4 linked regions of the Anolis sagrei genome follow. The protein of the gene in region 2 purifies or fractionates together with the protein of the main gene of each other region. This does not show direct contact. Links are inferred from orthologs where the notes say so. Each region holds a gene or a part of one and is shown on either strand. Other genes may lie near its edges.

Evidence for each region.
Region 1: the proteins of VAPA (region 2) and PITPNM1 purify together in Homo sapiens (co-immunoprecipitation; 4 studies listed by BioGRID and IntAct, counting the BioPlex papers as one, with this or other methods). This does not show direct contact. The link is inferred for Anolis sagrei from reciprocal best matches to the Homo sapiens genes VAPA and PITPNM1.
Region 3: the proteins of VAPA (region 2) and WDR44 purify together in Homo sapiens (affinity purification with mass spectrometry; 3 studies listed by BioGRID and IntAct, counting the BioPlex papers as one, with this or other methods). This does not show direct contact. The link is inferred for Anolis sagrei from reciprocal best matches to the Homo sapiens genes VAPA and WDR44.
Region 4: the proteins of VAPA (region 2) and TACC1 purify together in Homo sapiens (co-immunoprecipitation; 4 studies listed by BioGRID and IntAct, counting the BioPlex papers as one, with this or other methods). This does not show direct contact. The link is inferred for Anolis sagrei from reciprocal best matches to the Homo sapiens genes VAPA and TACC1.

The regions. Positions count from the first base shown.
Region 1 is NC_090021.1:235,040,001-235,047,330, reverse strand, and holds the start of PITPNM1 (membrane-associated phosphatidylinositol transfer protein 1), read left to right. Parts: upstream 1-4,322; 5' UTR 4,323-4,533; intron 4,534-7,330. UniProt on the Homo sapiens protein: Catalyzes the transfer of phosphatidylinositol (PI) between membranes. Binds PI, phosphatidylcholine (PC) and phosphatidic acid (PA) with the binding affinity order of PI > PA > PC. Regulates RHOA activity, and plays a role in cytoskeleton remodeling.
Region 2 is NC_090024.1:64,967,903-64,975,582, forward strand, and holds the start of VAPA (vesicle-associated membrane protein-associated protein A), read left to right. Parts: upstream 1-4,679; 5' UTR 4,680-4,844; coding exon 4,845-4,920; intron 4,921-7,680. UniProt on the Homo sapiens protein: Endoplasmic reticulum (ER)-anchored protein that mediates the formation of contact sites between the ER and endosomes via interaction with FFAT motif-containing proteins such as STARD3 or WDR44.
Region 3 is NC_090030.1:22,993,745-23,001,686, reverse strand, and holds the start of WDR44 (WD repeat-containing protein 44), read right to left. Parts: upstream 3,002-7,942; 5' UTR 2,877-3,001; coding exon 2,809-2,876; intron 1-2,808. UniProt on the Homo sapiens protein: Downstream effector for Rab11 which regulates Rab11 intracellular membrane trafficking functions such as endocytic recycling, intracellular ciliogenesis and protein export.
Region 4 is NC_090027.1:2,516,263-2,523,661, forward strand, and holds the start of TACC1 (transforming acidic coiled-coil-containing protein 1), read left to right. Parts: upstream 1-4,398; 5' UTR 4,399-4,631; coding exon 4,632-4,804; intron 4,805-7,399. UniProt on the Homo sapiens protein: Involved in transcription regulation induced by nuclear receptors, including in T3 thyroid hormone and all-trans retinoic acid pathways. Might promote the nuclear localization of the receptors.

The sequences.
Region 1 (7,330 bases), on a different chromosome or scaffold from region 2:
TTCATATCATGATCTGATCACCATACTCAATATATCCCATATGCATGGGAGTATTGGGGTAATGATACAAAGGTTTGCTAGGATAGACCCTCTTTCACTCAGACTCATCCCCCCCCCGAAGCTCAGCCCCCCGACCCCCCCTGAAAAAAACTCAGCCCCCCCCCCCCCCGAATCGAAATCCTGGCTACGGGCCTGGGTCACAAGCATGGTTGGTGGGGACGAGAGAAAGAGCCTTCTCGGTGGTGCCCCCCTGCGTCTGGAACACCCTTCCTAGAGAAATAAGACAGGCCCCATCCCTCCCCTCCTTTCGTAAGAGCCTGAAGACCTGGTGGTTTAAACAAACCTTTGAGAACAACTATTATTTATTTATTTATTTGATGCATTTATTAACCGCCATTCTCAGCCCTTTAGGGCGACTCATGGCGGTGTACACACATATAAAGACAATTTACAAAGAGGCAATTACAACAACCTATAAACTACACAACTAGTTCTAGCTCAGACCAAGATACTGTTGAATATGGCCATATCTTTTTCCACCAATTAATTACCCAGGTTAATTCCTCCTCTTAGGCCCCAGAAATGAACAGCCCATAGACTCTACCTAATTTCCCAGGCCCTCTACAAATTGCCTTGAACAGGCAGGATTATTTTAAATATATATGTGCTATTGTGATTTTTTTTTATGCTTATACTGTCTTTTAAATTTTATGTTGTTTACTTTGCATGCATTGATGATGTTACTTGGAAACCAATCTGAGTCCCCTCGAGGAGATAGAGCTGTATATAAATAAAGTTTTGTTGTGGTGGTGGTCAACGTTCAACACAAAATGACCATAGAGTCATACTAGAAGAGCAAGAAATTCATAGAGAAAACACTTTAATCAAATCTGTGAGTTGCACCGGCCAACACACCTTTTGGTGCCTCAAATGGTAGCTCTGTTTTTGGATATATTTGACCTGCTGATTCCAAACACTCCGCCGGTTTTGCCTATTGGGTCTAGTTTTTTGAGATATGGAAGATATGCCATTTACTAGTTGCTGGTCCGTAAGAACTCATGATAACCATAGGAAACTAGAGCTGGTGGTCAATCCCAGGCCTAGGCAAACTTGGGTCTTCCCTCCACAGTGTTTTGGACTCCAACTCCCACCATTCCCAACAGCTTAAGCGGCTGAGGGGGGAAAGGAAGGGGCCTGAGGCTGTTAGGAATGGTGGGAGTTGGAGTCCAAAACACTGGAGGGAAGACCCAAGTTTGCCCAGGCCTGATATAGAACTACAACTCCCCAGATTTCACAGTGTAGATGCCCTCTTTGTTTCATTCCAGAAGAGACATTTAGTGTCATTGGTGGGAGGAAAATGTTGCCATTCTAAGTAGAGCAATTAAAGAGGTCATTAATGGCTGGCAAGCAACCAGGGATAATCCTCCTGGCAATCAATGTTTTGGTTTATTTACAGCCCTGTAGCTAGTGCTCAAGTATTCCTATTTTTGTTGCTATTTATAAGCGTATTTATTGGGGAGGGGGCGAGAGAGAGAGGGAGGGAGGGAGCTGGGGAGCGCTTACGCACGCATTTGTTCTCGAGGTTTCCTTCGCCCCGCAGCTGCTCCCATTGAGGCGCTTGATGTCACCAGCCCCTGACGTCACAGGCGTTTCCCGGGTAATGAGCTGTGATGTCACAGGAGGAGGGGAGCGCGCGCTCGCTCACCCGCCCGCCCGCTCTGCCTTCCTATCTGCAGGTTGCCGCAGTTCCTATGGAAACCTCATCCCGGTTTGCAAAAGAGAGAGCCGGGCTGCAGCGTTATAGCATCTGGAGCAGCCTCGAATCCAAACCGGGACAAAGGAGGCAGGGAGAGAAGGAGAACTCCCCCGGCGCGATGGTTGCGCGGTGCTTCCACCAAAGGTCTCGAAAATTGCTCAATGTCTCCCTTTTTTGGGGGAGGAATCTGAATAATAATAAACTTCACAACCTCTGAGGATGCTTGCCATAGATGCAGTCGAAACGTCAGGAGAAAATGCTTCTAGAACATGGCCATATAGCCCGAAAAACCTACAACAACCCACTAATTGCCTGCACACCTCGCCAAGGCCCCATTTACACTGACATTTAGTGCAGTTTCAGACCGGTATTGGAAGAAAGTGGCATGGCTGTGCAGATGATGACTACATAGGGAGGAACTCATGGAACCAGTTTGGAGTGACACCTCTCCAAAGCCCCATCTACATTGACCATTTAGTGCAGTTTCAGACTGGTATTGGAAGAAAGTGGCTTCGCTGTGCGGATGATTGACAACATAGGGAGGAACTCATGGAACCAGTTTGGAGTGATTGATTGCAAAAACCACTGAGACAGCATTAATTAAGGGCTTGCTTTTGTAGGGATCTGTTGCTTGAGGTGGATGCTAAATCATCACACTAGAGAATTAATCTACTTTAAATCCAGTTGCTGCCTCCTGAAGATTTCTGGGGTTTGTAGTTTAGGGAGGAACCTTAAACAACCTCCCTAAACTACAAACCCCAGAATTCTGCAGGAGGCAGAATTTAATGTGGGTTCATTCTCTAGTGTGATCTAGGGCTCTTCCACACAGCCATATAACCCAGAATACCAAGGCAGAAAATCCCACAATATCTGCTTTATAGTGGGTTATCTGAGTCCACACTGACTGACATATATTCCAGTTCAAAGCAGAAAATGTGGGATTTTATTCAGCTGTGTAGAAGGGGCTGAAGTGAATGGCCATCATTGGGCCCTTCCAGACAGGCCCTATATCCCAGGATCCGATCCTAGATTTTCTGCTTAAAACTGGATTGTATGAGTCCACATTGCCTGATAATCTGGGATAAACAGAAAACCTGGGATCAGATCCTGGGGGCCCTTCCACACAGACATCTATCCCAGAATATCAAGGTAGAAGATCCCACAGTATGTGCTTTGAATTGGGTTATTTTAGTCCACACTCAGATAATGTGGAATTTCCTGCCTTGATATTCTCGGATATAAGGCTGTGTGGAAAGGCCCTGGGATGTAGGGCCTGTCTGGAAGGACACGTAGATGGGGCTTCCATCCCCAAAACACCCGGTTGCAAGGTTGCATCTGGGGGCCCTTCTTTTGTTGTTCTTTTGTTCAGTTGTTTCTGACTCTTTGTGAGCTCATCGACCAGCCCATGCCAGAGCTCCCTGTCGGCGGTCACCACCCCCAGCTCCTTCAAGGTCAATCCAGTCACTTCAAGGATGCCATCCATCCATCTTGCTCTTGGTCAGCCCTTCTTCCTTTTTCCTTCCATTTTCCCCAGCATCATTGTCTTCTCTAAGCTTTCCTTTCTTCTCATGATATAGCCAAAGTACTACACAGCCCTATATCTGAGAATATCAAGGCAGGAAATCCCACATTATGGACTCAGATAACCCAGTTCAGAGCAGATATTGTGGGATTTTCTGCCCTGATATTCTGGGATATAGGGCTGTGTGGAAGGGCCCTACATGATGGAATGAATGCAGCCTGGCTCCACTTGAACTGCTATGGCTCCATGCTCAGGAATCCTGGGAGTTGCAGTCTGGAGGGGGCATCAGCAGCAATTTTTGACAGAGAAGTCGAAAGACCTCGGGCCCTTCCACGCGGCCCAATATCCCTGAATATCAAAGCAGACAATTCCACAATATCTGCTTTGAACTGGGTTATCTGAGTTCACACTCAGATAATGTGGGGTTTTCTGCCTTGATATTCTGGGATATAGGGCTGTGTGGAAGGGTACCTTGTCAAACTTCAACTACCAGGATCCCTTCGCTTTGAGTCAATGCAATCATTCCACAATGTAGATCCACTCTGGGTCAGGCCTGGGCAAACTTGGCCCCTTCAGGTATTTTGGACTTCAACTCCCACCAATCCCAAGGGCCTGAAGCTGTTGGGAATGGTGGGAGCTGAAGTCCAAAACACCTGGAAGGCCCAATTTTCCCCAGCTCTGTTGAAGACCTTGTAAAACTACAACTCCCAGGATTCCACACCCGTAAGCAATGTCAACCCGCCTTCCTCATGCATGCCACAGGGTAGAAAGGAGATGCGCCCAGAGATTCTTCCTTTGCCTTCCCCCCTCCCTTTCCTGAACCCCGTTTCCTCCTCCCTCCCTCCTCCTCCTCCTCCTCTTCCCTCCTCCTCTTGCAAGGAAGGCGAGACTGCGGCTGAGCGAGCGCGCGCGCTTCGGGGCTGCGGTGACGCGGAGGCAGCGGCCCTCCTCCTCCTCCCCCTCCCTCTCTGCATCCCCCTCCCTCTCTCTCTCCTCCCTCCCTCCCTCCCTTCCTGGGCCACCACCGTCCAGACCATGATCTTCTTGCCGCCTTCGGAGCGCGTCCCCGGCGGCGCCCCTCCAGCAGCCTACGGAGGAGGAAGAGGAGGAGGAGGAGGAGGCAGCAGCGGCAAGGCAGGCGCCTCGGGAGGGAGGACCTAGGCGCAGCCAGCCAGCCAGCGTCCCAAGCCCGCTGCCTGCCTGCTTTCCTTCCTTCCTTCCTTCCTCCGGAGCATTTCCCACCGCCGAGCCACAGGTCTGGACGCAGATGGGGGAAAAGGGGGCCAGGGAGGAGGAGGAGGAGGAAGAGGAGGAAGGCGGGAAGTGGTGGGCGTGCAAGAGAGAGAGAGAGGGGGGATTCACATGGCAACGGGGGCTTGGGAGGTCGGTGTCGCTTCATAGCCGTGCCTCAGTATCTGAAAGGATGCATCGGGGGCAAGCTTGTTTACTGCTGCTCTGGATTGCCATGCCTTCCAATGACAGGAAAAGGGATTCCACCAAAAACATCAGGAAGAACTCCCCTATATGTTAAACCTCCTATTAGGTTTATAAGCAGAGGCTGGGTGGCCATCTGTCGGGAGTGCTTTGATTGTCTATTTCTGAATGACAGAAAGGGTTGGGCTGCATGGCCCCTTGGGGTCTCTTCTGACTCCAGGATACTATGTATGATGGTCACCTGTCAAGGGTGCTTGGATTCTGGAAATTCATAAGCAGAGGCTGGATGGCTGTCTGTCAGGAATGCTTTGATTATGTATTTCTGCATGACAGAGTAGGGTTGGATTGCATGGTTCCTTGGGATCTCTTCTGACTCCAGGTATCATGGTTATCTATCAGGGCTGCTTTGATTCTGGAAATTCATAAACAGAGACTGGATGTCTGTCTGTCAGGAGTGCTTTGATTGTGTATTTATGCAAGGCACAGTAGGGTTGGATTGCATGGTCCCTTGGGGTCTCTTCTGACTCCAGGTATCAGGGCCATCTATCAGGGGTGCTTTGATTCTGGAAATTCATAAGCAGAGGCTGGATGGCCATCTGTCAGGAGTACTTTGATTGTGTATTTTCTGCAAGGCAGAGTAGGGTTGGATTGCATGGTCCCTTGGGGTCTCTTCTGACTCCAGGTATCATGGTCACCTGTCAGGGGTGCTTTGATTCTTATAAGCAGAGGCTGGGTGCCCATGAAATGCTTTGATTGTGTATTTCTGCATGGCAGAGTAGGGTTTGGTTGCCTGGCCCTTCCGACTCCAAGATTCTATGCATGATGGTCACCTGTCCAGGAATGCTTTTATTCTGGAAATTCATAAGCAGAGACTGGATGGCCATCTGTCGGGAGTGCTTTGATTGTGTACTCCTGCATGAGTTAATGCATTCAGACAGGGTAGGGTTGGGCTAGTTGGTCCTTGGGGTCTCTTCCAACTCTAGGATTCTATGTATAATGTTGACCTGTCCAGGAGTGCTTTGATTCTGGAGATTTTCAAGCGGATCCTGGATGGCTATCTGTTGGGAGTGCTACATGACAGAAGGGAGTTGGGTTTGATGGTCCTCAGGGTCTCTTCCAGCAGTGGAATTCTATGTTATGAGCACAGCACATGGAAGATTTCTGAATGACATGTAGATTTCTGGTTGTGTTTTCCTGCAAGAGTTTTGGACTGGATCATGGTCCTTGTGGGTTGAATGCAATTTTCCTGCTTCTTGGCAGGGGGTTGGACTGGATGGCCCACGAGGTCTCTTCCAACTCTGTGATTCTCTGATTCTAGATCAAGGAAGGTAATGCAGTGGGGAAGAGGTGGGCGGGGGCCCAAGGAAGTGTAACACACCTACAGACATGCACATCCATGCCTTTTGTGGTTTTTGTGTTCTTGCTGTAGAAATTCCTGAGAAATAGCTCTGGGTGGCAGTGAGCTATTGTGCGTCTACACTGTAAAATGAAGACAGTTTGGTACCACTTGACCTGCCATGGCTCAACCCTTATAGAAACCCGTAAGTTTGGCATTCATTCTACAGTGTAGATGCACTCAAGAATAAATAGGCAAGAAATTTATTATTGTTATTATTATTATTATTATTATTATTATTATTATTATTATTATTGTGTTGCCGAAGGCTTTCATGGCCGGAATCACTGGGCTGCTGTGAGTTTTCTGGGTTGTATGACCATGTTCCAGAAGCATCATCATCATCATCGTTGTTGTTATTGTTATTTTACTGACAGAGAAACACAGTATGTCACAGCAAATGAGATATATATGCTTTATTTCGTATCACACAATCACAAGTCGAACACTTCCCAAGTGTCTAGGACTGGGTGATGTATTTTCAAATGTATTGTCGAAGGCTTTCGCGGCTGGAATCACTGGGTTGTTGTATCTATGGCAAGCATCTGAGGATGCCTGCCATAGATGCAGGTGAAACGTCAGAATATGGCCTCTAGAACATGGCCATATAGCCCAAAAAAACCCCTACAATAACCCAGTATTTTCGAATGATGCACGCAGATCCAAGTAAGGTGGCCTTTTGCAGTTGACAGATCATGATTTTGTCAATAATAATAATAATGTGGGCTAGGACACCTCTCCTTCCTCTCACTGTTTGAATCCAGAGTGGGATCTCTTGGTGGTCTCCCAAACTCATCTCCTTTCTCGAATGCCTTGGTTCTCCATTTCCATGAAGCAGGGAGTTTCTCACCTAAAGAAAAACATGTGGCTGCCAGCACATTCAGAGGATGACTGCTTTTTCTTTCTCTTTCTTTCTCTTGCTGTGATTTCCTTCCTCATACTTTGGGGCAGGCTGACATTAGACAGGGTTTGTCACCTGGAAGCCTGGCCTTAGCTGAACCTCACAGGCCTGTTGTGTTGTTATACTCACCATTAAAAACACAGGAGCCCAGCCAAGGGTGAGGAGGGGCCATTATTTTGGATGTACTAGCTTGCTGGTTCTTCTAGCGATGCATTTTCTACCCACTGTGCAAGAATTTTTGAGGACTGATAGAATATAGAGATTTTTAGAAGTGGCTTGGGCCAGGTTACCACGTTTCTTCCCCCCGCCATCTTGGCTGGG
Region 2 (7,680 bases):
AAGAATAAATATTTTATAAATCAAGTCAAATAAGAATGCAAGAATTGTATGCCATGGTATATAGTACCACTTGGATGCAACTGTACAAGATTTTTTAAAAATTCAATTGATCTTAATTCTCCTGTTGCCAGGTTAAACATACATAATTACAAAGTCATTTCACAAAAACCAGAATAGTAACAGTAGATATCCTGGAAACAGTTTTCCTAATATTGTAAGCGAATGCTGTGAAGCTGATACTTATTTCGATGTGAACACCACTGAAAATTGATAATTATTTTCTAAGTATATATGCATAGGATTGCACTCCATATCTTGTTCACAGTTAAGGTAAAGGTTTCCCTAGTCGTGTCTGACTCTGGAAGGTGGTGCTTATCTCCATTTCTACGCCAAAGAGCTGGCATTTTCCGTAGACGCCTCCAAAGTCAGGTGGCCAGCATGACTACATGGAGTGCTGTTATCTTCCCTCCATAGCAGTACCTACTGATCTACTCACATTTGCATGTTTTCGAACTGCTAGGTTGGCAGAAGCTGAGGCTAACAGCAGGAGCTCATCCCACTCCCTAGATTCAAACTGCTGAGCTTTCAGTCAGCAAGTTCAGAATCTCAGCAGTTTAACCCGTTGTGCCACAGGGAGCTCCGATCTTGTTCATGCACATCTAATATAAGCTCACAGGACTATATTCAAATTTAATTTATTTAAAAGTGTCCAATGAAATCAATAGGTTAAGTTATAGTAGTCATGAGTACAATACATTCCACAGAAAATACATTTCTGGCCTCTTAAGCTGAAGTCCAAAACACCTGGAGGGCCATAGTTTGCCCATCCCTGCTATAAACTCTACTTTTTTTTTTGTCGTGTCAGGAACAACTTGAGAAACTGTAAGTTGTTTCTGGTGTGAGAGAATTGGCCGTCTGCAAGGATGTTGCCCAGGGGACGCCTGGATGATTTGATGTTTTTATCATCCTTGTGGGAGGCTTTTCTTATGTCCCCGCATGAGAAGCTGGAGCTGATAGAGGGAGCTCATCCGCCTCTCCCCGGATTTGAACCTGCGACCTATTGGTCTTCAGTCCTGCCGGCACAGGGGTTTAACCCACTGCACCACCGGGGGCTCTATGAACTCTACTGATTTGATACTAATGTTGAGATACTTCAACAAAAAGCAACTAAAGACAAATGTAATGTGACAAGAGTTTTCCTGTATTATAAGAATAGCCTTGAGAATACAGTACTGAACTATATATTTTGCTGGTTGCTTGAGAGTTACAGTAGCTTGGGTTCCATTTTACAGAGAGCCTATTGTGTCTTCTTTCTTGGTTGCCCTGGCCTCAACTTGGACTAAACTGCTAACTACCTATGAACTGGTTGGATAAGACTGCCACCTAGTGTCTGAAGATTGTATTGTGGGCTTCACACACACACACACACACACAAACTAATATATCAACCAGCAACAGATCCCTTTTTGTCAACATGGTAGTCATTTAAAATTTGCACAATACATATTATTAGCATAGCACAATATCAGTATTATAGATTACAATATTGTACTATACCATTAGACTGTAATATTATTAATAATATTAATACATATATATATATGTAATTAATATATATGCATATATTAATATATAATAAACACGCATATATATATTATTAATAATATTACATATAATATAAAATATCTATATAAATAAAAATGTAATGTTTGTTTGTGGGATTAACAGAACTCAAAAACCACTGGGCAAATTTACACCAAATTTGGACACAAGACACCTATCAGGCCAACGAGTGTCCATTAGTCATTAAAACATGGAAAAAACACAGCGGAGGGACTTAAAAAGTAAAAAAACCCACCCCAAAATACATTACAACTCATGCACAAAACCACACGCATATATACACAAACACACATAGATACACATATATGCATATACACACACAAAATACATACACAGAAAAGGGGGAAGGAAGGAAGGAAGGAGAGGAGGGAGAGAAGGAAGGAAAGAAAGAAGGGTAGAGAAGGAGAGAGAAAGAGGGAAAGAAGGAGGGAAGGAGAGAAGGAAAGAAGGGTAGAGAATGAAGGAAGGAGAGAAGGAGGGAAAGAAGGAGAGAAGGAAAGAAAGAAAGGTAGAGAAGGAAGGAGAGAAGGAGACAAAGAAGGAAAGAAAGAAGGGTAGAGAAGGAAGGAAGGAGAGAAGGAGAGAGAGAAGGAGGGAGAGAAAGAGGGAAAGAAGGAGGGGAGAAGGAAAGAAAGAAAGGTAGAGAAGGAAGGAGAGAAGGAAATAAAAAAGTGAAAGGGAAGGAAGGAGAGAATGAACGAAAGAGAGAGAGAAGGAGGGAAGGAAGGAAAGAAACAAGGAAGGATGGAACTAAAGAGCAAAGGAAGCGAGAAAAGAAACAGATAAAGAAGGAAGAAAGAAGGAAAAGAAAAAGCGGGAAGGAAGGAAAAACGGAGGGAAGGAGAGAAATAAAGAAGGAGAGAAAGAGGGAGGGAAGGTTGGCCACAGCAACGCGTGGCGGGTACAGCTAGTATAATTATAATATCATATTATTATTAGTAGTATTATTATATTGGATTACATTATAATATTATAAATATTACATGTATATTATATATATATATATATATATATATATATATATATATATATATATATATATAATATGAGATCACGAAGAGTCGGAAACAACTCTGAATGACTGTCAGGGAGGGATCCCATGTTATGATTATTGATAGCATCCCTCTTTGATGTCTGAAATTCCACTCGCCTTGTTTGCCAATACACTATAAGCCAGTGGTTCTCAACCTTCCTAATGTTGCGACCCCTTAATAGAGTTCCTCAATTTGTGGTGACCCCAACTATACAATTCTTTTATTTGCTACTTCATAACAGTAATTTTCTGCGGTAATAAATTGTAATGTCAATATCTGATATGTAGGATATATTTTTATTCACTGGACCAAATTTGGCACAAATACCTGATGCACCCCAAAACAATATTGGTGGGGTTAGGGGGAATTGATTTGGTCATTGGGGAGTTGTAGTTGCTGGGTTACTTGCAATCAAAGAGCATTTTGAAATTCACCAACGGTGAAACTGAACCAAACTTGGTACACAAACTCCCATGACCAACAGAAAATACTGGAAGGGTTTTGAAGTTGTAGTTCAACTGTATGGAGAGAGTAAACAATGATGGATCTGGACCAAACTTGGCATGAATATACCCAAATGTGAATACTGGTGGAGTTTGAGGAAAATATACGTTGACATTTGGGAGTTGTAGTTGGGGGAAGTTTGACCCAATTCTATCCTTGGTGGGGTTCAGAATGCTCTTTGATTGTAGGTGAACTATAAATCCCAGCAACTACATCAACAATAGAAAACTCCCATCAACAATAGAAAATACTGCGTTTTCTGCTGGTCTTTGGCAACCCCTCTGACACCCCCTCGCGACCCCCAGGTTGAGAAACGCTACTGTAAGCAATCACAGTTATACAAAAAATCAGGAGATCTTCGAAAGCTTGCCATGATGCATTTTGAGCATTTTTGTACACGTTTGAAATTTAGCAAACCCGGATTATTTCTGAATTTGACAGCTGGAAACGTTTGTCCAGATTGGAAGGAAAGGCAAGGCTTTAAACCTGTCCTCTCCTTTCACAAAGGGTGTTAAACCTGAGGGGGGAAACGCCCACCTTCTCCCATCCTGGGCTGTGTGTGCCCCCTTCCCTCCCTCGAGACTACAATTCCCAGCATGCCCTGGCCCCCCGCCGACCGCAGAATTCGGGGAGCGGGCTCGCGCGCTGCATCCTGGGAGTCGTAGTCCTCTGCTTCCCCCTTCACTGTGGCGACGTCGAATAGGTCTCGAATTCCCTTTCTTTTCCACTTTGACTTAAGCACCTCTCTCTCTTCTCACTATCCCCGCCTTGTCTTTCCGACCTGTCAATCTTCCCTCCTGACAGGGATTCAAATGTCTTGTGTTCCCTTTTTTTTTTTGTCGTGTCAGGAGCGACTTGAGAAACTGCTTCTGGTGTGAGAGAATTGGCCGTCTGCAAGGACGTTACCCAAGGGACGCCCGGATGATTTGATGTTTTTAATCATCCTTGTGGGAGGCTTCTCTCATGTCCCCACATGGCGAGTTAGAGCTGACAGACGGATTCAAGCCATATGAAGAGGTGGAGCCTCTCCCCGGATTCGAACCTGCGACCTGTCGGTCTTGAGTTCGGCCAGCACAGGGGTTTAACCCACTGCGCCACCGGGGGCTCTTGTGTTCCCTGTACTTCCATCTCTCCCTTTCCTTCCTCCCTCCAGGACGCGCGTGACACGAAACAGCGGCGCGCGCTCTTCTCTCTCTCTCTCTCGCTCTACCCGGCTCGAGCGCATCTCTGGTGTTGTGAAAGAGAGAGTGAGAGAGAGAGAGAGGCGAGCTGTCAATGACGGTCTCGCGGCACTCAGGAAGGAACGCGCGCGCGCGCGCACGCCTGCGTGTGTCGAGAGCGGCGAAGACGACTCTCTCTCGCGGCGTCTCGCAGCCGCGCGCGCTCTCTCTCTCTCTCGCAAGACGGAGAAACGAAAATTTTTAGAACTTAAACCGGCCGCTTGCCCCTCCGTGCCATTGGAGAGAGATGACAAGCATTCTCATAGGCTGAGGCGGGCCCCTGAGAGCGCGCGCGCGCACACACGCCTGCTTGCCTTGACGAGAGCGCGCGTGCTCCTGTTACGCGTCTTCCGCCTCCTCCTCTCCGTCCCTCCCCTCCTTTTCCCCGACCGGAGCGCCCTCCTCCTCCTCCTCCTCCTCCTCCTCCCGCTCCCGGACTGAGGCGAACGTGTGAGCAGCAGCGATGGCGGCCGCGGGGGCTCTGGCCAAGCACGACCAGATCCTGGTGCTCGATCCGCCCACCGACCTCAAATTCAAAGGTACGCCGTGAGGGAGGTGAAGCCTCCTCTCGGGGGGGGGGGGAGGAGGGAGGGCCTCCTTCTCCCCGGGAGCTGTGAGGAAATCGAGGGCGGCTTCCCTCGGGGCCTGTAAAAGGAGGCTTGGGCCCGTCGCCACTGGGGAGGCTCCGAGCGGGGAAACGGGACGAGACGTCGCCATCTTGCTGACGCTTCCCTCCTCGCGGCCTCCTCCGCCTCCTCGGGCCCAGGCTCCCGGTCAGCCAGCCAGCCAGCCAGTCGGGGGCTGGGGAGGCCTGCCTCGCTTTCCCTTCCCTTCCGCATGGCGTCGTCGCTGTCTCTTTCCGCCTGCCCTTCTCTCAGCTGAGAGCCGGACTGGCGCCTTGCCTCTCTCTCTCTCTCTCTCTCTCTCTGCAGGGATTACATGCATATGCCTTTTCCACCAGAGAGACAAAAATACATTCTCAGGGCCCTTCCACACAGCCCTATATCCCAGAATATCAAGGCAGAAAATCCCACAATATCTGCTTGGAACTGAGTTATCTGAGTCCACACTCAGATAATGTAGGATTTTCTGCCTTGATATTCTGGGATATAGGGCTGTGTGGAGGGGTCTTCATTCAGCCTCCCTTCACGGGCTTCCAGGGCCCCATCTACACTGCCATACAAAATCCAAATTCTCTTCTTTCAACTGGGTTATATGGCAGTGTGGGCTCATACTGTATAATCTAGTTCGAAGCAGATCCTGTGGATTGTCTGTTTCGATAATCTGGATTATAGGGCAGTGTAATTCAATTCAAAGCAGATAATGTGGATTATCTGCTTCCGTAATCAGGATCGTATGGCAGTGTTGAAGGGGCCCAGAAGAGCCAACAAAAACACCTTTTCTTGTCGATATTTTCCCATCCATATCGCCGTCATTTCCAAAGTAGAATCATTGAGTTGGCCATCCAGTCTAACCCCCTGTCAAAAAGCAGGAAAAGCCATTCAGAGCACCCTCTGCCACTCAGGGCCCCTCCACACAGCCCCATATCCCAGAATATCAAAGCAGAAAATCCCACATTATCTGAGGGTATACTCAGATAACCCAGTTAAAAGCAGATACTGTGGGATTTTCTGCCTTGATATTCTGGGGTATAGGGCTATGTGGAAGGCCCCTCACATACCACTCAGGGCCCTTCCACACAGCCCATTGAGATTCTGATCGAGCATGGTGGAAAAGAATATCACATCCATTGCAATGCTGACGGTTCTGAGGGCCCTTCCACAAAGCCCTATATCCCAGAATATCAAAGCAGAAAATCCCACATTATCTGATAACCCAGTTCAAAGCAGATATTGTGGGATTTTCTTCCTTGATATTCTGTGATATTAGGGCTGTGTGGAAGGGCCCTGAGTCTGTTTCACCTCCCAAATCCCTTCTTCTGTGTCGCAACTGTGACAGGCTCATATGAGACGGAGGCTTCCGGGAAGCTGCTTCCCTGCCTTTCCCTGTGTTGTGTGCGCCAGGCCCAAGATGCGGGTGGATGGATGGATAGATGGATGTTCTTGGCTTGTATAATAATAAGGCTGGGAGGAGGATCAGAGCCTCACACGCTTCCTCCTGTATTTTAGGCGTTGTCTTCCCCAATCCCCCACGACAGGCACCCACCCCCACATTACACACACGCCCCTGCCTCTTCCTGCTTTGAATGTTGCCCCTCCGGAGCCTACTCTCCTCCTCCTCCCATGCAGAGTCGTAGTGGTGGCATTTTGCACCAACGCCCTTTGATGTGTCATCCAGGAGCACAGCTAGGGGCGTTTTCTACACTAATTCTCCTGACATTTCAAGTGTTGTATTTTGTGAATACCACATTGAAATCTGTGTGTTGCATTCTACGTGAATTAAAAGGCAGTTCCCGTTGGTTCGAACCTCTTCTTGAGAGGTAATAATAATTCCCTGCCAAGTGCTGAGAAGTTTCCGTGAGCTGAATATTTGTTGCTTCAATCCTCAAGGCCCTTGCACACAGCCATATAACCCAGAATATCAAGGCAGAATAACCCACAAAATCTACTTTGAACTGGGTTATCTGAGGTATCTTCCTGACAGATCCTATATCCCAGGATCTGATCCTAGGTTTTCTGTTTATCCCAGATTATCTGGCAGTGGAGAGTCATATAATCCAGTTTAAAGCAGAAAGCCTTGGATCAGATCCTGAGTTATAGTGCCTGTCAGGAAGGGTCGTCAGTCAATACTGCCATATATCCCATGGTCCTTCCACACAGCCATATAACACAAAATATCAAGGCAGAAAATCCCACAATATCTGTTTTGAACTGGGTTATCTTGAGTCCACACTCCATATATCCCAGTTCAAAGCAGGAAATGTGAAATTTTATTCAGTTGTGTGGAAGGGGCTTCAGTTTATCTATAGTTGGGAAAAGCTGTTTATTATTATTATTATTATTGTTTACACAATGGGGTGTTTGGCAGGACAGTACTGAAAATTTTGAAATTGAAGTGGCATTTTGAATTTAGCCAGAGCTCTTGAAGGGTAGCTGTCATAATACAATGAAACATCCCTGTTACAAAATTGTACTTCAGCATTGACTAGCACAAGGTTCCATAAATGTTGAGAGAATAAATCTGGCCATTTTTGGCAGGAATTGTTGTTATTTACAGACCGGCTCAATTAGGTGTAGGGAGTGGTGTGAACTTGTAGCAGTTAGAAATACTATTACCCCTCTTGAGTTTTTTGAATAAATTAAACTACAACTTTGAGGGCAAAAATCAGAATAATTTCA
Region 3 (7,942 bases), on a different chromosome or scaffold from region 2:
AACTGTGGACTCAAACAATCATGGATCTGGACCAAACTTGTCACAAATATTCCATCTGCCCAAATATGCACACAAATGGAATTTGGGAGAACTAGACCTTGACATTTTGGAGTTGTAGTTACTGGGATTTATAATTCACCTAAAATCAAAGAGCATTCTTGTGTGTTGTTGTTTATATGTGATTTATATTAATTTGTATTGTATTATATTGTTTATTAATTTGTATTGTATTGTATTGCACTGTTTATTGTACTGTTTATTGCTTTCCTGTTTTATTGATATGTTGTTGGGCTTGGCCTCATATAAGCCGCTCCGAGTCCCTTGCAGAGATGGTGGCGGGGTATAAATAAAGTATTATTATTATTATTATTATTATTAGAATTATTCTGAACCCCACGAATGACAGAATTGGGGCAAACTTCCCACACAGAACCCCTATGACCAACAGAAAATACTTAAGGCCATCCAGCCCAACTCTCTTCATCAGGGCAAGAAAACGTAATCAAAGCCCTCCTGACAAAGAGCCATCCAGCCATAGATATAGAAAGATATGATCCACACACACAGATATAGTATCATAGATTTGAAAGGGACCCCTAAAGAAGGACAAGTATATCTTGCATGTTCCAGAGTAGGCAAACCAGTCAATCTCCACACCAACAGTGACAAAGAAACAACAAAAAATGCTGTTTATCCACAAACATAAAGAAATTACATATATTAGAAACCAACACTTTCTCATTACTTTATTTTCCAGATCAGTAAACTGGGCCACAGCAAAACATGGCAGGGGTCAGCTAGATGCACTATAAACACATACACACAAGCGTTGTACAGCATAGGGAAAAGTGAACACCGCTATGGGGTTTGTTTTGCTGTCTGTGACCCTGTACAAAAGATTCCACCTCACTATTTGTCTCTGTGAGAATTTGAGAAATGTGGTTTGTTGTGAAAACAAGGACTGGGGATAAAAGGCTTCAGTGGAGACTCCTTTCCCCCAGGATAATAATTCTTTCAGGAGTGAATTTCCCTTCCGAGGAGTAGATTCCTTTCACTTCCTGTCGTCACAGCCCCATTCTTAACTAGGAGTTGGATGCAAGTCGGATGTCTGTAATGTGGGAAATGTGTGTATCATCTGTCTGGGAGTCCAGTGGAGTCTCCTTTTCTGGAGGTCTCTGAACTGAGGTTGGATGGCCATCTGTGGGGAGGGCTTTGACAGTGCCTTCCAGGCAGCCTTTGTTTGCTTTCTGAATGAGACAAATGAGCTTGAGCTACAAAAACACACACTACTGCTGGTCACACTCTCCCAGCCTCAGAGGACATAATTATTACACTATGTAGCAAAACACAATACAATTTAATAACAAATTGTTATTAAATTGAATTAAATGTTGAAAGTATTACAAAAATCACAAATAAAATCAATTTAAAAAAAAGAAAGCTGCAATCTGTATTGACGTCTTTAATCCGGATTAGCCTTAATCCGAATTGCACCTCCCCCCCCCCCATTCACTTTCAGAGGATCCATGAGAAGAGAGGCAATAGTTCGTTTGCTTGTTAAAAAGGGGGGAGGAAAGTTCCAATCCGGATTGAGGTCTTTAATCCGGATTAGCCTTAATCCGGATTGCACCCCCCCCCATTCATATTCAGAGGCTACATGGCAAGAGAGGCAATAGTTTGTTTGCTTGTTTAAAAAGAGGGGAGGAAAGTTTTAATCCGGATTGAGGTCTTTAATCCGGATTACCCTTAATCCGGATTGCACTTTTTCCCTCCCCTTTTCCTATCCAGAGGCTCCATGACATGAGAGACAATTGTTTTGTTTGTTTAAAAGAGAGAAAAAAATTCCACATTGAGATCTTTAATCCGAATTAGCCTTAATCTGGATTTGGAGCTTCCCCCCAATCCAGATTTAGTGGCTCAATGTTGTTTTTTGTATTTACTTTAGAAAACAAAAAGCTCCAATCTGGATTGAGGTGTTTGAACGGGATTAGCTTTAGTTTTGTTTGTCCAGATGGAGGTGTTTAATCCGGATTAGCCTTATTCTGGATTTTGAGCTCCTCCCCCATTTGGATTTATTGGCTCAATGTTGTTTTATGTATTTACTTTAGAAAACGAAAAGCTGCAATCTGGATTGAGGTGTTTGAACGGGATTAGCCTTAGTTTTGCTTGTCCAGATGGAGGTGTTTAATCCGGATTAGCCTTCGTCTAGATTTGGAGCCCCCCCCCCCAATTCGGATTTAGTGGCTCAATGTTGTTTTCTGTATTTACTTTAGAAAACGAAAAGCTGCAATCTGGATTGAGGTGTTTGATCCGGATTAGTCTTAGTTTTGTCCAGATGGAGGTGTTTAATCCGGATTAGTCTTATTCTGGATTTGGAGTTCCCCCCAATCCGGATTTACAGGCTCAACGTTGTTTTTTGGGTTTCCTTTAGAAAAAGAAAAGCTCCAATCTGGTTTGAACGGGATTAGTCTTAGTTCAGTTTGTCCAGATGGAGGTGGTGTTTAATCCGGATTACCCTTAATCTGGATTGGAGCTCCCCCCACCCCCCAATCTGAATCCAGCGGCTCAATGAAGAGGGAGTCAATAGTTGTTATATATATATTTTTTAAAAGCTCTAATCCGGATTAAAGATAATCCGGATTAAGGTCTTTTCCACGCAGCTCTGGGCCGGAGAATGAGATTTGGGGGGAGTGGGGGGTTGGGTTCGCTCCCCGTCGTGGATAGCCAGCTTTAATCCGGATTAAGGCACCCCCAATCCGGATTAAGCGGGAATATAAATAAACAAACAACTCCAAGAGCCCAACTCACGGGGAAGGGTGGGCGACGTCCTCGGCGGCGTCGTAGAAGAGCTCCTCGGGGTCTGAGTCGGAGGCCATCCCCGGGAAGGAAGGAGGAAGGAAGGGAGGAAGGAAGGAGCCAGGAAGGAGGAGAAGGAGCAGCAGCGGCAGCCGCGCAGAGCGGGTCGGGCCTGGCCCCCAAATCTCGCGAGAGGAAGGAAGGAAGGAAGGCGGGGCGGGGCCACCGGAGCCCCGAGAAAAGGAGGAGGGGGGAAAAAGCAACAGCACCAAGAGGGTTGGGAAGAGTCACTCGCACGCATCACTTCCGGCTCCCAATCGCTGGGTAAGAGGTGGAAGCCAAGGAATCCTATATGCATGCAAAAACATACATAGATGCATGTGCATGTAGATCATATATTAGTTGTTGTTGTTCTTTCCTTCAATTTTTTTAGTAACCTCATGGACCATACAGGGAAAACCAACTGATCCCTAATCCATCTAAAACACAGATTTGTGCTTTTCACCATAAGAACAGACAAGTATCTCAAGCTCTGAGGATGACCTGGGAAGGAATCCCACTGGAGCATTGCAGCACACCCAAATACCTGGGAGTCACTCTGGACCAGGGGTCCTCAAACTAAGACCCGAGGGCCAGATGTGGCCCTCCAAGGTCATTTACCCGGCCCTTGCTCAGGGTCAACCTAAGTCTGAAATGGCTTGAAAGCACACAATAACAACAACAACAATCCTATCTCATCAGCCAAAAGCAGGCCCACACTTCCCATTGAAATACTAATAAGTTTGTATTTGTGAAATTGTTCTTCATTTTAATTGTTGTTCATTCGTTCAGTCGTCTCCAACTCTTCGTGACCTCATGGACCAGCCCACGCCAGAGCTCCCTGTCGGCCGTTACCACCCCCAGCTCCCTCAAGGTCAGTCCAGTCACTTCAAGGATGCCATCCATCCATCTTGCCCTTGGTCGGCCCCTCTTCCTTTTGCCTTCCACTTTCCCCAGCATAATTGTCTTCTCTAGGCTTTCCTGTCTCCTCATGATGTGGCCAAAGTACTTCAACTTTGTCTCTAGTCTCCTTCCCTCCAGTGAGCAGCCGGGCTTTATTTCCTGGAGGATGGACTGGTTGGATCTTCTCGCAGTCCAAGGCACTCTCAGCACTTTCCTCCAACACCACAGCTCAAAAGCATCGATCTTCCTTCGCTCAGCCTTCCCTAAGGTCCAGCTCTCACATCCGTAGGTGACTACAGGGAAGACCATGGCTTTGACTAGGCGGATCTTTGTTGCCAGTCTGATGTCTCTACTCTTCACTATTTTATCGAGACTGGACATTGCTCTCCTCCCAAGAAGGAAGCGTCTTCTGATTTCCTGGCCACAGTCTGCATCTGCCGTAATATTTGCGCCTAGAAATACAAAGTCTGTCATGGCCTCCACATTTTCTCCCTCTATTTTCCAGTTGTCAATCATTCTTGTTGCCATAATCTTGGTTTTTTTGACGTTTAGCTGCAACCCGGCTTTTGCGCTTTCTTCTTTCACCTTGATTAGAAGGCTCCTCAGCTCCTCCTCGCTTTCGGCCATCAGAGTGGTGTCATCTGCATATCTGAGGTTGTTAATGTTTCTTCCAGCAATTTTCACCCCAGCTTTGCATTCATCCAGCCCCGCACATCGCATGATGTGTTCTGCATACACGTTAAAAAGGTTGGGTGAGAGTATGCAGCCTTGCGGTACGCCTTTCCCAATCTTGAACCAGTCTGTTGTTCCGTGGTCAGTTCTGACTGTGGCTACTTGGTCCTTGTACAGATTCCTCAGGAGAGAGACAAGGTGGCTTGGGATGCCCATCCCACTAAGAACTTGCCACAATTTATTATGATCCACACAGTCAAAGGCTTTAGAATAGTCAATGAAGCAGAAGTAGATGTTTTTCTGAAACTCCCTGCCTTTCTCCATTCTCCAGCGGATATTGGCAATCTGGTCTCTCGTTCCTCTGCCTTTTCTAAACCCAGCTTGAACCCATTTTAATTATTGTATTTTTTTTCAGTGTTTTTTTGCACTACCAATAAGATATGTGCAGTGTGCATAGGAATTCATTCATGCTTTTTTCAAATTATAATCCGGCCCTCCTACAGTTTGAAAGACTGTGACCTGGCCCTCTGTTTAAAAAGTTTGAGGACCCCTGCTCTGGACCATGCTCTGACCTACAAGAAGCACTGCCTGAATATCAAGCAAAAAGTGGGGCGCTAGAAACAACATCATACGAAAGCTGACTGGCACAACCTGGGCATCACAACCAGACACAGTGAAGACATCTGCCCTTGCGCTGTGCTACTCTGCTGCTGAGTACGCATGCCCAGTGTGGAACACATCTCACCACACTAAAACAGTGGATGTGGCTCTTAATGAGACATGCCGCATTATCACAGGGTGTCTGCGCCCTACACCACTGGAGAAATTACACTGCTTAGCCAGTATTGCACCACCTGACATCCGCCGGGAAGTAGCAGCCAATAGTGAAAGGACCAAGGCAGTGACATCTCCAGCTCATCCCCTGTTTGGGTATCAGCCAGCACGCCAACGACTTAAATCAAGACATAGTTTTCTTAGATCTACAGAGACATTCTGTAGAGCAAGAGTCCAAAAGTGGCAGCAAGAGTCCAAGCAAGCAAGAGTCCAAAAGTGGCAGGCCCAAACCCAGCGCCTCAATCAATGGCCGATACCAAATGAGAGACTCCCCCCTGGGCACACAGAGGACTGGGCGACTTGGAAGGCGCTGAACAGACTGCGCTCTGGCACCACGAGATGCAGAGCCAACCTTAAGAAATGGGGCTACAAAGTGGAATCCTCAACATGCGAGTGTGGAGAGGAGCAAACCACTGACCACCTGCTGCAATGCAACCTGAGCCCTGCCACATGCACCATGGAGGACCTTCTTGCGGCAACACCAGAGGCACTCCAAGTGGCCAGATACTGGTCAAAGGACATTTAACCAACTACCAAGTTTGCAAAATCTCTGTGTTTTTTTCTTCTTTTTCTTTTTAATCTGTGTGTTTGTTTTATTCTGTTAGAATTGTAATACAACGGTATGGTTGCTGATGACACGATAAATAAATAAATAAATAAATAAAGGACCATACATACATTATATATATATATATGCACACACACACATATATGCATACACACATATATCTTCTATCTATATACATAAACATGTAATGTTCGTTTGTGGGATTAACATAACTCAAAAACCACTTGACGAATTGACACCAGATTTGGACACAAAACACCCAGCAAGCCAATGAGTGACCATCCCTCATAAAACACTGAAAAACACAGCAGAAGATACTTAAAAAGCAATTAAAATACATTACAACACATGTGCAAAACCACATATATACCGTATATGCAAACACACATATATATACACATATACACAAATATATACACACACAAAACACATGTACACAGACTGGCCCACAGCAATGCATGGCAGGGGATGGCTAGTCACTTATAAAATACTGAAAAACACAGCAGACCATAATTAATAAGCAAGAAAACAAAATTATAACACACAAAACCACACACGCACACACATATATGCAAACACACATATACACAGACTGGACCACAACAACGTGTAGCAGGGGAAGGTTAGTCTATATAAATAAAAATGTAATGTTCGTTTGTGGGATTAGCATAACTCAAAAACCACTGGACGAATTGACACCAAATTTGGACGCAAGATACCTATCAGGCCAACAAGCGACCATGACTCATAAAAACACTGAAAAACACAGCAGAGGAGACTTTCAAAGCCAAAAATGCAAAAAGATGCTACAGCGCATGCGCAAAACAACTCCCCTTTCAAACAAAACACACAATAGCACATCCACACTCTCTTCTGGACTACAGCTCCCAGCATCCCCTAGACCAGGAGAGGAGAGGAGAGGAGGATGATCCAAATGGACTGCTTCCAAGATGCAAGCTTTCTTCTCCTTGGATTTCTTTGAGAGCATCCCAATTCCTACATATTTCCAATTTTCCTATTCCTGGACTGCAACTCCCAGCAATCCTCCAGACAGATAAGACAGACAGACAGATAGATAGATTAGAGATAGAGATAGATACATAGATAGATAGATAGATAGATAGATAGATAGATAGATACATAGATAGATAGATAGATAGATAGATAGATAGATAGATAGATAGATAGATAGATAGATAGATATTCTTTGACTACTGGGAGTTGCAGTCCAATAATAGGTAGAGAAGGAAGAAAAGGGAGAAAGAAGAAGGGAAAGAAAAGCTGAGGGGGAAGGAAGGGAAGAGGAAGAGAAGGAGACAAAGAAAGAAAGAAAAAAGAGGAAAGAAGGAAGGAAAGAGGGAGGAAGAGAAAGAGAGAGAGAAAGAGGGAGAGAAGGTTGGTCACAGCAACGTGTGGCGGGTACAGTTAGGACTATATATATATATAGATATATGCGCATACACACACACATACACTCACTCACTCACACATAATCATAGAATAATAGAGTTGGAAGAGATCCCAAAGGCCATCTAGTCCAACCCCATGCCATGCAGGAAAAGCACAATCAAAGTATCCCTGACAGATGGCCGTCCAGCCTTTGTTTAAAATTTTCCTAGGAAGGAGCTTCCACCACACTCTGAGGCAGAGAGTTCCACTGTTGAACAGCTCATATGGTCAGGGAGTTCTTCCTAACATTCAGGTGAACATTACATATAAATATAATACTAGTCGTACCTGCCACGCGGTGCTGTGGCCAACCTTCCCTCCCTCTTTCTCTCTTTTCTTTCTCTCCTTCCTTCCTTCCTTCCCTTTTTTCTTTCCTTCTCTCCTTCCTTCTCTGCCTCTTTCCTTCCTTTCCCTCCCTTTTTCTTCTTTCTTCCTTCTCTACCTATTCTTAGACTGCAACTCCCAGAGGTCCTCCTGATTGATCTGTCTACCTACTATCTATCTCTGTCTAATCTATATATCTTATTTATCTGGAGGATTGCTGGGAGTTGCAGTCCAGGAATAGGAAATATGCACGGATTGGGATGCTCTCAAATCCAAGGAGAAGCAAGCTTGTAGCTGGGAAGCAGTGCATTTGGAGCATCCTCCTCCCTTAAAGGGCCTGGTCTAGGGGATGCTGGG
Region 4 (7,399 bases), on a different chromosome or scaffold from region 2:
ACCCACCACGACACACGTTGCTGTGGCCAACCTTCCCTCGCTCTTTCTCTCCTTCTTTCCCTTCTTTCTTCGCTCTCTCTTTCCTTCCCTTTTCTTCTTTCCTTCTCTCCTTCCTTCCTCCTCTATCTCTTTCCTTCCCCCTTTTTCTTTTCCTTCCCTTTCTCTCCTTGCTTCCTTCTCTACCTCTTTTTTTCCTTCCTTCACTTTTTGCTTCCATCCTTCCGTCTTTCCTTCCCTCTTTCTCTCCTTCTTTTCCTTCTTTCTTCACTCTCTTTCCTTCCCTTTTCTTCTTTCCTTCTCTCCTTCCTTCCTCCTCTATCTCTTTCCTTCCCCCTTTTTCTTTTCCTTCCCTTTCTCTCCTTGCTTCCTTCTCTACCTCTTTTTTTCCTTCCTTCACTTTTTGCTTCCATCCTTCCGTCTTTCCTTCCCTCTTTCTCTCCTTCTTTTCCTTCTTTCTTCACTCTCTTTCCTTCCCTTTTCTTCTTTCCTTCTCTCCTTCCTTCCTCCTCTATCTCTTTCCTTCCCCCTTTTTCTTTTCCTTCCCTTTCTCTCCTTGCTTCCTTCTCTACCTCTTTTTTTCCTTCCTTCACTTTTTGCTTCCATCCTTCCGTCTTTCCTTCCCTCTTTCTCTCCTTCTTTTCCTTCTTTCTTCACTCTCTTTCCTTCCCTTTTCTTCTTTCCTTCTCTCCTTCCTTCCTCCTCTATCTCTTTCCTTCCCCCTTTTTCTTTTCCTTCCCTTTCTCTCCTTGCTTCCTTCTCTACCTCTTTTTTTCCTTCCTTCACTTTTTGCTTCCATCCTTCCATCTTTCCTTCCCTCTTTCTCTCCTTCTTTTCCTTCTTTCTTCACTCTCTTTCCTTCCCTTTTCTTCTTTCCTTCTCTCCTTCCTTCCTCTATCTCTTTCCTTCCCCCTTTTTCTTTTCCTTCCCTTTCTCTCCTTGCTTCCTTCTCTACCTCTTTTTTTCCTTTCTTCGCTTTTTGCTTCCATCCTTCCTTCTGTCTTTCCTTCCCTCCCTCTTTCTCTCCTTTCTCTCCTTTCTTCGCTCTCTCTTTCCTCCCCTTTTCTTCTTTCCTTCTCTCCTTCCTTCTCTATCTCTTTCCTTCCTTCCTTCCTTCCTTCCTTCACTTTTTGCTTCCATCCTGTCTTTCCTTCTTTCCTTCCCTCCCTCCCTCTTTCTCTCCTTTCTTTTCTTTCTTCGCTCTCTTTCCTCCCCTTTTCTTCTTTCCTTCTCTCCTTCCTTCCTTCTCTACCTCTTTCCTTCCCCCTTTTTCTTTTCCTTCCCTTTCTCTCCTTGCTTCCTTCTCTATCTCTTTTCTTCCTTCCTTCGCTTTTTGCTTCCATCCTTCCATCTTTCCTTCCCTCCCTCTCTTCTTCTTTCCCTTCTTTCTTCGCTCTCTCTTTCCTTCCTTTTTCTTCTTTCCTTCTCTCCTTCCTTCCTCCTCTATCTCTTTCCTTCCCCCTTTTTTCTTTTCCTTCCCTTTCTCTCCTTGCTTCTCTACCTGTTTCCTTCCTTCCTTCGCTTTTTGCTTCCATCCTTCCTTCTGTCTTTCCTTCTTCCCTCCCTCTTTCTCTCCTTGCTTCTCTACCTCTTTCCTTCCTTCCTTTGCTTTTTGCTTCCAGACCCAGACCTTGTGAAACTACAACTCCCATGACTCCATAGTTGTTATAGTGGTGTCTTTTAATGTAGATAATCTCCCAATGTTTGCATGGCTCCATGCTATGGGAGCTGTAGTTTGTCGAGGCTCGAGCAATAATTAGCAAAGAAGAGACCCCCTAGACCTTGTCAAACTACAACTCCCAGGATTTCATAGCAATTGCTGTGGCGTGTAGATATACCCTATATTTGCATGGCTCAGTGCTATGGAATCCTGGGAGCTATAGTGGTGGCAAAGAAGACTCCAGTCCATGTGAAACTACAACTCCCAGGATGCCAGAGAAGTTACAGTGATATCCTTCAATGTAGATAAACTCCCAATAGTTGCATGGCTCCATGCTATGGGAGTTGTAGTTTGTCGAGGCTCCAACACTAATTAGCAAAGAAGACCTGCCTAGACCTTGTCAAACTACAACTCCCAGGATTTCATAGCAGTTGCGGCAGTGTGTAGAGACACCCTATATTTGCATGGCTCAGTGCTATGGAATCCTGGGAGCTATAGTGGTGGCAAAGAAGACTCCAGACCTTGTGAAACTACAACTCCCATAGTTGTTATAGTGGTGTCTTTCAATGTAAATAAACTCCAAATGCTTGCATGGCTCCATGCTATGGGAGCTGTAGTTTGTCGAGGCTCCAGTACTTATTAGCAAAGAAGACCCACCAGACCTTGTGAAACTGCAACTCCCAGGATGCCATAGAAGTTATAGTGATATCCTTCAATGTAGGTAGATTCCCAATGTTTGCATGGCTCCATGCTATGGGAGCTGTAGTTTGTCGAGGCTCCAGCACTAATTAGCAAAGAAGACCCACCATACCATGTCAAACTACAACTCCCAGGATTTCATAGCAGTCGTGGTGGTGTGTAGAGACACCCTATATTTGCATGGCTCAGTGCTATGTTTGCAAAGAAGACTCCAGACCTTGTGAAACTACAACTCCCAGGATGCTAGAGAAGTTACAGTGGTATCCTTCAATGTAGATAAGATTCCCAATATTTCCATGGCTCCATGCTATGGGAGCTGTAGTTTGTCGAGGCTCGGGCACTAATTAGCAAAGACCCCCCCAGACCTTGTGAAACGACAACTCCCAGGATTTCATAGCAGTTGCGGTGGTCTGTAGATATACCCTATATTTGCATGGCTCAGTGCTATGGAATCCTGGGAGCTATAGTGTTTGCAAGGAGGACCCACCAGACCTTGTGAAACTACAACTCCCAGGATTTCATAGCAGTTGCGGTGGTGTGTAGATACACCCTATATTTGCATGGCTCAGTGCTATGGAATCCTGGGAGCTATAGTGTTTGCAAGGAGGACCCACCAGACCTTGTGAAACTACAACTCCCAGGATTTCATAGAAGTCACTGTGGTGTGTAGATACACCCTATATTTGCATGGCTCAGTGCTATGGAATCCTGGGAGCTATAGTGTTTGCAAGGAGGACCCACCAGACCTTGTGAAACTACAACTCCCAGGATTTCATAGAAGTCACTGTGGTGTGTAGATACACCCTATATTTGCATGGCTCAGTGCAATGGAATCCTGGGAGCTATAGTGTTTGCAAGGAGGACCCACCAGACCTTGTGAAACTACAACTCCCAGGATTTCATAGAAGTTACTGTGGTGTGTAGATACACCCTATATTTGCATGGCTCAGTGCTATGGAATCCTGGGAGCTATAGTGTTTGCAAGGAGGACCCACCAGACCGTGTGAAACTACAACTCCCAGGATTTCATAGAAGTTACTGTGGTGTGTAGATACACCCTATATTTGCATGGCTCAGTGCTATGGAATCCTGGGAGCTATAGTGTTTGCAAGGAGGACCCACCAGACCTTGTGAAACTACAACTCCCAGGATTTCATAGCAGTTGCGGTGGTGTGTAGATACACCCTCTATTTGCATGGCTCAGTGCAATGGAATCCTGGGAGCTATAGTGTTTGCAAGGAGGACCCACCAGACCTTGTGAAACTACAACTCCCAGGATTTCATAGAAGTTACTGTGGTGTGTAGTTACACCCTATATTTGCATGGCTCAGTGCTATGGAATCCTGGGAGCTATAGTGTTTGCAAGGAGGACCCACCAGACCTTGTGAAACTACAACTCCCAGGATTTCATAGAAGTCACTGTGGTGTGTAGATACACCCTATATTTGCATGGCTCAGTGCTATGGAATCCTGGGAGCTATAGTGTTTGCAAGGAGGACCCACCAGACCTTGTGAAACTACAACTCCCAGGATTTCATAGAAGTTACTGTGGTGTGTAGATACACCCTATATTTGCATGGCTCAGTGCTATGGAATCCCGGGAGCTATAGTGTTTGCAAGGAGGACCCACCAGACCTTGTGAAACTACAACTCCCAGGATTTCATAGAAGTTACTGTGGTGTGTAGATACACCCTGTATTTGCATGGCTCAGTGCTATGGAATCCTGGGAGCTATAGTGTTTGCAAGGAGGACCCACCAGACCTTGTGAAACTACAACTCCCAGGACTCCATACCCCAGAGCCATGCAATTAGAAGGTGTATTTCCATTGAAGAATGGCAGTTCCAGTAGCGTGGAAGTCCATTCCTGCCAGGGTGTCAAATGCAGCCTGGGAGTGAGTCACGTGTCGGGGGGCCACCTCACGTCTGAAGGGGGCCCCTCCCTCCCGGCCAATCAGGGCCTGCCTTTCCTCTCTGCTCCGGGGCGGGAGGGGGGGGGAGCGTTTTGACGCAGCGGGCCCCGCCCCCGCTGCCTGGCTGCTTGCACGCGTTGGGCGACGTAACGTGTGAATGCGGGCTGGGCGGGCGAAAGGCGGGTTCGGAGGAGGCGGGACCGAGGCAGGCCGGCTCCTTGGGCATCCGTCAGAGGGTCCCTGCCTGTCTTGCCTTGCGAGGCGGAGTCAGAGGAGGAGGAGGAGGAGGAGGAGGAGGAAGGATGGCGCTGGGCTGAACCACATCCGCGCCGGATCCGCTCCATTTTGACGCCGTGTGGCCCCGATGGCGTTCAGCGCCTCCTGGCAGCTCCTCTCGCCGGTCCAGTGGGCCAAGTGGACCTGGTCCGCCGTCCGAGGAGGAGGGGGGGCCGCAGGGGGAGGGGGGTCCGGACCCGAGGAAGAGGAGGAAGAGGAAGAAGAAGAGGCTCAAGGAGAGACCCGCTCGCTCAGCCTCAGGCAAGTCCCGCGTCAGCGCGCTCACACGTGACGCGTGTACACTCGCGTGTCAGCCAAGGAGGGGGAGGAGAGGCGCGCTCACACGTGACGCGTGTACACTCGCGTGTCAGCCAAGGAGGAGGAGGAGAGTGCGCTCACACGTGACGCGTGCACACTCGCGTGTCAGCCAAGGAGGGGGAGGAGAGCACGCTCACACGTGACGCGTGTCAGCCAAGGAAGAGGAGGAGGGCGCGCTCACACGTGACTCATGCACACTCGCGTGTCAGCCAAGGAGGGGGAGGAGAGCACGCTCACACGTGACGCGTGTACACTCGCGTGTCAGCCAAGGAGGAGGAGGAGAGTGCGCTCACACGTGACGCGTGTACACTCGCGTGTCAGCCGAGGAGGAGGAGGAGAGCGCGCTCACACGTGACGCGTGCACACTCGCGTGTCAGCCAAGGAGGAGGAGGAGAGAGCGCTCACACATGACGCGTGTATACTCGCGTGTCAGCCAAGGGAGGGGGAGGAGAGAGCGCTCACACGTGACGTGTGTACACTCGCGTGTCAGTCATGGAGGGGGAGGAGAGCATGCTCACACGTGACACGTGTACACTCGCGTGTCAGCCAAGGAGGAGGAGGAGAGTGCGCTCACACGTGACGCGTGTACACTCACGTGTCAGCCAAGGAGGAGGAGGAGAGCGCACTCACACATGACGCGTGCACACTCACATGTCAGCCAAGGAGGGGGAGGAGAGCATGCTCACACGTGACACGTGTACACTCGCGTGTCAGCCAAGGAGGAGGAAGAGAGTGCGCTCACACGTGACGCGTGTACACTCACGTGTCAGCCAAGGAGGAGGAGGAGAGCGCGCTCACACGTGACGCGTGTACACTCGCGTGACAGCCAAGGAGGAGGAGGAGAGCGCGCTCACACGTGATGCGTGTACACTCACGTGTCAGCCAAGGAGGAGGAGGAGAGCACGCTCACACATGACACGTGTACACTCATATGTCAGACAAGGAGGAGGAGGACAGCGAGCTCACACATGACGCATGTACACTCGCGTGTCAGCCAAGGAGGAGGAGGAGGGCACGCTCACACATGACGTGTGTACACTTACGTGTCAGCTGAGGAGGGGGAGGAGAACGCGCTCACACGTGACACGTGTACACTCGCGTGTCAGCCAAGGAGGGGGAGGAGAGGCGCACTCACATGTGACACATGTACACTCGCGTGTCAGCCAAGGAGGAGGAGGAGAACGCGCTCATACGTGATGTGTGTACACTCGCGTGTCAGCCAAAGAGGAGGAGAGCGCGCTCACACGTGACGCGTGTACACTCGCGTGTCAGTCGAAGAGGAGGAACAACAACAACATCCTAATGGGTGTGCTCCAGCTTGCAAGCAGGCTCAAGGCGCATCCCTATACCGGAGAATGGATGGGCTCCTCTGGAATGCTATTTGGTCCTTGGGAGTTGTAGTTTAGTGAGAGGCTGGGTGCAGAAGGAATGCTCCTTTGGGGTCCCCCTTGGGTGCATCTCCATTGAGTTTTTCAGGAGAGATTGGGGGCATCTCCATAGGAGAATAAATGCAGCTAGACTCAACTTGCATTGCCCTGGCTCAGTACTATGTGAGTTGTAGTTTTTTGAGGAGGTATTGTGTGTGTCTTCAATGCTATATGAGCCTGACAGTTGTAGTTTTGGGAGGTATTGTGTGCATCTCCATTGGAGAATGAATTCAGTTTGATCCCCCTTTGAAATTACCCTGGCTCAATGCTATGGGAGTTGTAGTTTTGGGAGGTATTGTGTGTGTTCAATGCCATTTGATCCCAGAAGTTCTAGTTTGGGGAGGTATTGTGTGCATATCCATTGGAGAATCAATGCAGATCGACTCTACTTGAATTGTCTTGGCTCAATGCTGTGGGAGTTGTAGTTTGGGAGGTATTGTGTGTGTCTTCAATGCTATTTGAGCCTGACAGTTGTAGTTTTGGGGGGTATTGTGTGCATCTCCATTGGAGAATGAACTCAGTTTAATCCCCCTTTAAACTGCCCTGGGTCAGTGGTATGGGAGTTGTAGTTTTTTGGGAGGTATTGTGTGTCTCTTCAATGCTATTTGAGCCTGACAGTTGTAGTTTTGGGAGGTATTGTGTGCATCTCCTTTGGAGAATGAACTCAGTTTAATCCCCCTTTAAACTGCCCTGGCTCAATACTATGGGAGTTGTAGTTTTGGGAGGTATTTGTGCATCTGCATTGGAGAATGAATGCCGATCGACTACACTTGAATTATCCTGGTTCAATGCTATGGCAGTTGTAGTTTGGGGAAGTATTGTTTATATCTCTACTATAGAATGAATTCAGTTCAATGCTCCATTGAATAGCCTTGGCTCAATGCTATGGGATATGGGAGTTGTAGTTTAATGAGAAATTGAGTGCATCTCCATTGTAGAATGAATTATTATTATTATTATGTTTATTTATTATAATAATAATTCATTCTATAATGGAGATGCACACAATCACACATTAAACTACAACTCCCATAATCACATAGCATTAAGGCCTGCTGCTCCTGGGAGTTGTAGTTTAATGAGTTTGGGGAGGTATTGTGTGCAACTCCAT